2 linked regions of the Chlamydomonas reinhardtii genome follow. The protein of the gene in region 1 purifies or fractionates together with the protein of each later gene. This does not show direct contact. Links are inferred from orthologs where the notes say so. Each region holds a gene or a part of one and is shown on either strand. Other genes may lie near its edges. The genes, in order: CHLRE_12g488850v5 and CHLRE_16g685277v5.

Region 1 (4,578 bases):
CAAATGACTGCAATATTCCAGCCATCACACCATGGCGTAAAGCGCGTCGAAATGACCTCTGGAGTCACCTCCCAAGGCCGCCATTCCTACTTCCTGCTGCATCCCTTCCCTCCCCGGTGCATCCCGTGCCTGCTTTGCGCATAGACAGACGCTCCAACCGCCGTTACACCTTGCGCACAGGTATATTGCCTCCCCCTCGTCCCGCACCCCTGCCCCCTCCGGCGCCCCCACCCCCTCCCACCTTTAGGCTGGCCATGACAGTGGCCTGGTGGTGGCGCACGCCCTCCAGCACCTCCGGCATGGCACCCGCCAGCCGCGCCAGAGAGTCCAGCGCCAGGTACTTGGCGTTGGGGTCCTGCGGCGGAGCACACAGCACACACCGGCAGATGGGGAGAGTCATGGGTGAAGCGCACGCAGCCCATTCGCACGCCACTCGGAGATGCAATACTGCCACAGTTGCGTGTCCGGCCACATGCGAGTCAGGGAGTGTGCCAGCTCTCAGGACCTCTGCAGGAGCCGAAATCTCTCGCCCGTCCAGCTAAGTTGCGATTCGCTGTGAGTCGTGATAAGTCCCCATCCTGCCGCTTTACTTGGTTCGTGTTTCGGTTCCCCCGCCTCCACGCCCCGCACCTTGCCAGCCAGGTAGCGGCCCATGAGCGATAGGCACGAGCCCAGCGTAGCGCGGTCGTTGGCGGCGTCGGGGCCAGTGGCGGCCATGGCGTTGTTGGTGGCGGAGGCGTGGTGCAGGGCCACAGCCAGCGCCTCAAACAGGATCGCGTTCAGCGCATTGGTCTTGTTGGGGTTGGCGTTCTTGGCAGCCTCAGCGCTCGCTGTGCAGCAGAGGTATGTGGCACAAGCATGCGGCTTTGAGCCCGCGTTCGCTAGGGCGGCAGCGCTTCGCGCTGTTGTTGTCTCCTATCCGGCTAACGCCCCGCCCCAAACACGGCAATGATTGTCTGGGAATCCCGTCGTCCTCCTGACTCACTCGTGGCGATGATGTTCTGCAGCACGTCGTGCAGCGCCTTGCGCTCCGTGGCGCTGTCCGGCGGCGGAAACAGCTGCAGCGCGCGCAGGCAGCGGGCCTGCGAACAAACGACAGGCGACACCGGCACATGAGCAGCGGTTGGTGGTATGCCATGACACATCTATGCCTTGTTGGATGCCGTCCCTGCCTCCTGCAGTCCTGCGCCAATTCCTGCAGCATCTGATTGCCACAGCCCACAGCACCAGAAACACCAGCACCCCACCCTGTGATGGCCCACCTGCAGCCAGGGCGAGGGGATACCGTAGTACAAGTACTCGGGCGGGATGCGCTCCCGCTCGCGCACCAGGCGCTCCAGGATCTTGATGACACGGCCCTGGCACGTCTCGTAGCCGCCTATGGTGGGGCCCGCAGCCAGGAACCACACGTTGCATGTCAGTGCTCCGCACAAAGGTGCACCGAAGCGCCACATGATGGTGTCGCTGCGCTATCCCTGCATCCCCCAAGTGCGTCTCCCTCCCCCCTTCCCCACCTGTGCCCGAGCGCGCCACCAAGCCGTGCAGCAGCGTCACCGAGCACAGCAGCAGGCCCAGGTCCCGTTCCTCCAGTAGCGCCGCCATGGTCGGGCTAAACGTGTCCGCCGCCACCACCAGCGGCGCGTCCGCCGGCGTCTTGCGCAGCATGCGCAGCAGGCACAGCGACGCGCGCTTCTTGATGAGCGGCCGCGAGGCGCCGCTCGTCTGCGGTTGGGTGCGTGGGAATGGCAGCCGGTCGATGCATTCCTTGCGTCATACGTGCAATACTGACAAACATACTAACACAAGCCAAATAGTGCCGAGGTCATCTGGGGCGGCCTACAGCAGTAGGGAACACGGCACGCGCTCACCAGGAGCTTGATGACGTCCAGCGTCAGTGCCTCCGCCATCTCCTGGCCACCAACTATGCGGCGCATGGACACAGGCAATCGTTATCGGCCCTGCATTTCGGACGACCCCGTGCCACACCACCCGTGACGCCCCTGCTTCACTCCGCCTTTCCCCAGCCCTTTCCCTGCAACCCTTGTATACTCAGCGACCGTGACATGCATAATCATTTGCCCTTCTCAGCCGTCCATGCGACTTACTGTTGCCCACGAAGCTCAGCGCCAGCGCCTGGAACGCCTCGTTCCGGCTGGTCAGGTCCAAGTGGATGGCGTTGATGGCCAAGCGCAGGAACTCGTCGTTCTGCGAGTACGCGCTAGCGGTGAGCGCCTAGCCATAAATTGAAACACATGTTGCCGCTGCTGCGGGCATGTGCAGGGCGCGGGAGCCGGGCAGGCGCGATTCACGAGCAGGCGAGTGCCACTGACCTCTTGCAGCAGGAGCGAGCAGGCCATGTACCCGACTTGTTTGTCTGAGTACTTCGGCATTGGAATTAAGTCACACGCCTGCTTGTGACCGAAGTCAATGTCAAAGCCCAGCATATAGATATACAGGAGCTTCCAGATGTACTTTCGCCGGTCATAGCCTGCGCAAACGGGGCGAACATGAATCTCGGGCGCCGGAACAGCCCCGAGAAGCTGGCCGAAGGGACCAATCCTTTGTGCAACAGGATCTTCCCTGCCAACCCACCACTTAAGCTCTTGTCCTCGCCAAATTTTGCCCTGATCTTTGCTAGCTCCTTCTCCACGCGCCGCTGCTCCTGCTCCTTGTTCTGGCAAGCCCTGATATCTGATATAAACACCTGCAGACCGCGCATATACGCAGTCTTCGACATTTTGGTTTGTTTTCAATGTCTTCTACGTAATGCTGAAGGCCAACAACGGTAGTTCAATAAAGCCAGCAAGTTCGGTGGAGTCTTCAGTCGCAAGGCCCTGGTACTACTTGCAGCAATTGCTACGTATTTATCAAGCAGCAGACGGAGGAGACACTGAAAAGGGCTGCCGAATGGACCGCCATCGAGGGCCATGTGGGCCAGCCATTAACCGAAGGGGGCAAACACAATGGCATTTTTTTGACGCCGCCCTTTGCGCGTGACACATTGACATCCGGATCGAGCACCCGCTGTGACTCATGCGCGTGAAGAAGCTTGGGAGGGAGTGCCGGTTGCAGCTTCGACTTCGAGTCTCGGGCAACAGCGCACCAGTGCTCGCCATGACCCCTGCTCCCCATCGGCCCCATCGGCCTTACTGTACACATGGGCAGCTGTGTCAGACTGCACCCCGGCATGCGCCCGATTCTTCTTTCGCAAGAGACTGCCTCCAATCTATGGTGGTGCCCCTAGAAAGACCCTGCCTTCAAAGTCCACAATCTTTCACCGGCGAGCATGGGTGCCGGTGCACTCTTGCCGGCGAGGTCTCAGCGAGACAGCCACTCAGCTCTCAACCATTTAGCTTGCAGCCACCAAGATCTAGGATTGAGCAGGGGCCAAAGAATGCTAGAACCCCTCATACTGGAGCACAAATGCACAGCAGATAGGTTGCGTCGTTTGCGGGTGCTGTTGGTGCTCAGATGCCCTCGCAAGTCCTTCTACTGGTGGGCTGCGGCGGCCGTGTGTCGGGGGGCCGTGGGCTCGGGCAGGCCCGGGTTGGAGAGATAGACACACAGCTGCAACAAGTTGATAGGTAGGCATGTGCATGCGGCGGATACCGGTTGGTACTGTACAGGCGGCAAAGGGCGAGTGAGGATAAGCAGGCCGCGTAGAATGCGCAGTGGTGCGATGGGACAGGGTAAGAGGCACGTTGGCGTAGTCCCGTACGGGAGGTCTCGGCTGAAAGCCTGTTTGGCTAGTAATGAGAGTCTGGTCAAGAAGTTGGCTCATAAGAATTAGCTATGGCGATACCCTGGGGGCGGGGGTAAGCGCGACGTGGGCTGGTCACCCCACTGCCACGGAAGTCACGACAAGTGTGCTCTCGAGCGAAGCGACTGTGCAGTCCAGAAGGGGATAATTATGGGCGGAGCGCAGTAGTTGTACGCCACATCCGGTACACAACCTGCGGAACACTCCCTGGGGCATCATTGTTGCCGGCTGTCATACAACACCTTCACATTCAATACGCGCCGTCAAGCCGTCAAGGTATGAGCGCGCAGCTGGTGTAACGTCGGAGTTGCTGTTCTGAGACATCGATAAATTGTTGCGTCTTGCTGGCAGGCGGTGAGTTGCTGACGCGCCTTCCTCACGCTCAGGGCGCCCGGCCAGCCCGCAACACGCATTCGCATTCGCATTTACGCATTTCAATGACGCGCGCACACACACACACACACACACACACACACACACACACACACACACACACACACACACACACACACACACACACACACACACACACACACACACACACACACACACACACGCACACACACACACACACACACACACACACACACCGGTAGTAATTCCGCAAGGATTACTGGCGCGGTGAAGGGTCGGAGTGCGTTACCCTGTGGACTCCAGAGCTGTTTGCGCTCTGCCGGGGAAACGCCAGGTCACGGCAGCCCTCGTTTGAGAGCCCTGTCGTTGGTTATACCAGATACACGATTCACGTGATCTGGCAGAATAACCATGGAAACCGTTGTCTCTCTCTCTCTCTCTCTCTCTCTCTCTCTCTCTCTCTC
Region 2 (4,510 bases), on another chromosome or scaffold:
GGCGCCGGCCTCCGCGCCGTCCGCTGGGGCAAGAGCGCCGCCGGGGGTGACGGCGCCTGTGCCATGGAAGCGGATTTGTCGGTGCAAAGCAGGCAGGCGGCGATGGCGGCTGCGGCAGCGGATGGCGGCGCGGGGCCTGAGGACCAACAGGCGACGGCGGGCGGCGGCGGCGGGGCGGCGGGTGCGGGTGCGGCTCCGAAGGGCCCACTGGCCAAGATGCGTGCCTACTTCCGCAAGAAGCTGGACGTCATGTGAGCAGGCTGTAACTGTGATGTGTAGTGTGGTGATGATGTGGCTGGGGCCTGGGGCCTGGGGAGGTGGGAGCCTGCCGGATGCATGCTACGCCCGTGCTCGTGAAATCAAGTGATGGGCCGTCGTGGGATTGAGCGGTGGCGGAATGGTAGCAGTAGTGGCCATATGGGCTCATGGAGGGGTTGTGTGAGAGTTACCAAGACGGACGGCGCCAGGGAGCGTGTGTGTTGGAGGGGGGGTTTTCATGTGCCCGAGCCCAATAGGTAACAGTAGTGGAATGACCATTGGTTATGAGGCGTCACCCAGGTGGAGTCGTGAAGGCTTCGCAGCGACTCACGAGAACGTATGCATGTTGGGGGGTCGGGAGCCACACCACTCGGGTGTTGTGTCATGGAAGGGCTTGATCCCGCACAGAGCGGAAAGCAGGCAGACGGCAGTTGGATGGGGTTGCCGTCAATGTGCACCCCTGTAGGTGCCTTACTTGCCGCGAATAAGGCGTAGGCTTGAACGGTGCTAGCCAGAGCCGCGAGCCGTGGGGCTGCATGTGCAAGTTGGTGCGCGGTTCACGCTTGCGCTGGACCCTGGACCGCAGGATGTTGAACATTTTCAGGGTACCGATGCCGGTGTAGTGCCGACGCGTGCCGTGCATTTTGGAGTCTAAAGCTGGCCTTATGAGTTGCACGGCTAGGTCAAGGTGGCAGGACTTGAAGGCGCAAGCAGCGGGGTGGGTGTATGGATGAAGGGCTGTACCTGGAGGCCCGTTCGTTCGTGTGTAAGACAAGCGCTAGGCGAGGAACACGGCTCTACGTCTCAAGGGAAACCGGAAGAATGGGCTGCGCCCACGCCACGTTGGCGCAAGGTTTGAGGCCGAAGGTTTCAATTCCCGGACATTGCCGTCGGTTCGTACAGGCACCGCCCGCCGCGTGTCAGCCGCGTCCCGTCCAGCCGCGAGTGCCCGGGTATTTTGGGGTGGCCAGCAGCAGCGTGGCTGGAAAGCACAGCCCACATTCACGTACCTTACAAATGTCCAGTCCAAACTGCGTTGTTTGCCCCAGCATTGAGGTTGGTGCCGACGCATGCCCGCACGCACGCACGGGCAGAGGTGTTTTGGGGGGGGGGGCTTCGCGCCCTTGAATTGCTGCGCTCGGCGGGCTCAGCCCAAATACTGCAAGCACACGGGCTTATGACTGATTGCCGATGCCGCCGGACGGCTCCGGGCTCCCTCGCGCCTGAGTGCCTGACGCCTCCGCAGGGCTGTGCATGCACCTGCATGCAAGTGTGCATGCCGGTGCCGTGGCACAACACCCTTCGGTCTTCAGACTAATGTGCAGCCCTGGCATACTTAAACCACCATACTTCCTCGCTGACATCGCAGACATCACTTAACCGAGCGTTTGCACCTTCACGCCTGTGCAACTTCTGCCCGAGCTACCTGTTTTAAGCAAAGGTGCAGGTGACATGTCTGCCCTACACCCTTGACATTCTTCTTGCTTAGGCTAGCTTACGTCTAGGAACAGCTGAGCGGGAGAGCGGCAGAAGAATGGCTTGTTCAGCGTGCTCTGCCATCTACTTCCTCAACCTCCGGGGCGACATCTTGCTTGAGCGAAAGTACAAGGATGATGTAGAGTAAGTAGCAGAACGATTTCGGTACCATGGGGCCCAAGCGGAGAGAAACGGATGTTGAGTTTCCCTCCAGCGCGGGGAGGGCAGTTTGGGGGCCTGGAGCCCTGATGCTGCGAGCAAATGCATTTGTGGACATGATGTAACGCGTGGTGGCCGGGTAGTGGCGTCTGACTGGCCACCGCTGCTGCCAGTGGGTCTCAAAGCACCCTTTCAACGATCGGAACCCTGTGCCACAGCCGGGAGATCGCGGAGAGCTTCCGCGACCGCATCTTGAATGCACAGCATCAATCCGTCAACCCAGGCCAGTCTGGACCGATCCGGACGCTTGGCTCGGTCACGTTCATGTACCTGCGCCACTCGGACATCTATGTCTTGATGCTCACTCGGAGTAACGGCAACGCTATGCTGTCGTTCCGCTTCATGACCTCGGTAGGTGGCCGGAGAAGGGGTCGTGGGAGCCAGGGAAAGGCGTCCTGGGAGCCAGGGGAGAGCTGTTTCCTCTTGCCGGAGGTAGGGGTGAGCTGCGTGTAGCTGGGGACCGTATGGCGGTGCCAGCACAAAGTAGCCTGCCTCCTGTTGGCATTGCAGCGTGGATTGCAGACCCCCGGTTATTGTTAATACCAGAGACAGTGCGGGGGCAATCAGCGGGGCATTGCAGAGATAGGAGACACCTCTCTGCACGTGGCTCACGGCACCTGACCCCACGCGCTCCGCCTCTCCGCTGCACAGCTGGTGTCGCTGTTCCAATCCTACTTCGAGGGCGACCTCAATGAGTCGTCCATCCGCTCCAACTTCGGTGAGGGCTGAAACAGACTGGATGAGCAACTTGCACATGCTGTTTCTAGAGCTTGCGGCCTCGCCGAACCGCGCCTGGGGAATGTGGGTCAGGCGGTACCACCGTGCGGTACCACCGACTGCACATGGTCATGTCCACCGCTCTGCCGCGCCCTGACCAATGTGACCCACCGCTCCGTCTCACTCCTCGCAACCTGCATGGCACCCCGCCCCTGCAGTGCTCATGTACGAGCTGCTCGACGAGGTGATGGACTACGGGCTCCCGCAGGTGCGTGCTGGGGGGCACATGGGCACGCCGCGGGCTCCTGTGGGGGTTGATGTGGCGAGAGCCCGGGCAAAGCTGCCTGCTGCTGGCGGGTAACGTGCCTGACGTGCCCGCGCTCTCTGCTGATGTTGTTCCACTGGCCGTGGACCCCGGACGCTGCGCAGATGTCGGATCCGGCCATCCTCAAAACGCTCATCCTCCAAAAGGGCTACAAGTCGGAAGGCGGGCTGCTCGGGACATCAGCGTCGGAGGCGGCGGTGAGCCGCTGGCGCGCGCATGGGCTTCTAGAGGCGTTGGGGTGGCGATATGTGCTGTTAGTCCGCAGGCGCCAGGGCGTCACGTTATGGCCCGCAACATAGCAAGCTGCAAAGCGCTGTGCTGGGCAAATGAAGGCAGGCGTTCATAGGCGCTGCGGGCGAGGAGCGAGGGGCACTGTCGAGGGGGGGAGCGGCAAGCAGCTCATTGGGGTTCTGACGGGGAAGTACGGTGTGTATGTACGTGCCGCCTCAGGCGAAGAAGGCCAAGGAGGCAGCAGCGGCGGCCAACGCCACGCTGGCGGTGACTGGCGCGGTGGGCTGGCGGCGGGAGGGCATCAAGTACAAGCGCAACGAGATCTTCCTGGACATCGTGGAGCAGGTCAACGTGCTCATGAGCCAGAACGGTGGGGCCGCGGGAGGCGGCAGCCTCAGAGGGATGTGGTGGGCCACAGGGGCGCACGGAGGGCGGGAGCTGCGCGGGAGCAGGGCCAGGTCACTGGGGTCGACTACAGCGGGATGAACTGACGAGTACGATGGTATGAGTGCCGGGTCACTTGCGGAGGGGGCGTACACGGCGCGGGGCAAGTGTGCGGTCAGCAATGCTCCGTAACGTCTCACGGTAACGCCCCCGTCATCATCCTACCGCCACAGGCACGGTGCTGCGCAATGATGTGGTCGGGCGCATCCAGATGAAGTGCTTCCTGTCGGACATGCCCGAGCTGCGGCTGGGGCTCAACGACCAGATGCAGGTGCGTGCAAGCGTGCACGCCACGTGTCAATGTGGGAGGGAGTCAGCAGGCGGGAGTGGTTGGGTACTTGAGTTAGGCAGGGAGGCGTCGTGCGGCGTGCTTGACAGTAGTGGGGGTCTGGGGAACTTACGGCAACGGCACCGCACCCCAGCATCTGTGGACTGCATAGAAGAGGCAGATGCTTCGACCGTATAGCGCTCATCAGGGCTGCATGGGTCTGATCTGTCTCTGTGCCGTGTGTCGGTGCTGCAGGACGCGACCTTCCACCAGTGCGTCAACCTGGGCGCCTACGAGTCGCAAAAGGTGGTCACGTTCGTGCCGCCCGACGGCGAGTTCGAGCTCATGCGGTGAGGCGGGCGGTGTGGCACCGGGGCAGAAGTGTTGCTGGTTCTGCCGTGCGTGGGGCCAGAGCCACGCACGGCAGAAGAGGCCGGGCACAACGTTAGCTTCGTAACGGATCCGCAGCGCGTTACACTGCGAGCAAATGGCATTGACCTGACTTGCCCCACGCTCGCCTGCGCGCAGGTACCGTGTGAACGACGGCATCACACTGCCGTTCAAAGTGCTGC

The links.
Region 2: the proteins of CHLRE_12g488850v5 (region 1) and CHLRE_16g685277v5 purify together in Arabidopsis thaliana (affinity purification with mass spectrometry; 4 studies listed by BioGRID, with this or other methods). This does not show direct contact. The link is inferred for Chlamydomonas reinhardtii from reciprocal best matches to the Arabidopsis thaliana genes alpha-ADR and AT5G46630.

Annotation. Positions count from the first base shown.
Region 1 is NC_057015.1:1,312,510-1,317,087, forward strand, and holds the start of CHLRE_12g488850v5 (uncharacterized protein), read right to left. Parts: upstream 2,881-4,578; 5' UTR 2,738-2,880; coding exon 2,593-2,737; intron 2,489-2,592; coding exon 2,331-2,488; intron 2,206-2,330; coding exon 2,106-2,205; intron 1,922-2,105; coding exon 1,869-1,921; intron 1,723-1,868; coding exon 1,515-1,722; intron 1,379-1,514; coding exon 1,263-1,378; intron 1,083-1,262; coding exon 986-1,082; intron 831-985; coding exon 631-830; intron 356-630; coding exon 242-355; intron 1-241. UniProt on the Arabidopsis thaliana protein: Subunit of the adaptor protein complex 2 (AP-2). Adaptor protein complexes function in protein transport via transport vesicles in different membrane traffic pathways.
Region 2 is NC_057019.1:7,380,955-7,385,464, reverse strand, and holds the start of CHLRE_16g685277v5 (uncharacterized protein), read left to right. Parts: upstream 1-1,595; 5' UTR 1,596-1,792; coding exon 1,793-1,878; intron 1,879-2,111; coding exon 2,112-2,304; intron 2,305-2,604; coding exon 2,605-2,671; intron 2,672-2,888; coding exon 2,889-2,938; intron 2,939-3,099; coding exon 3,100-3,192; intron 3,193-3,445; coding exon 3,446-3,596; intron 3,597-3,843; coding exon 3,844-3,941; intron 3,942-4,193; coding exon 4,194-4,288; intron 4,289-4,466; coding exon 4,467-4,510. Other genes in the region: CHLRE_16g685389v5 (uncharacterized protein), read left to right, coding at 1-255. UniProt on the Arabidopsis thaliana protein: Subunit of the adaptor protein complex 2 (AP-2). Adaptor protein complexes function in protein transport via transport vesicles in different membrane traffic pathways.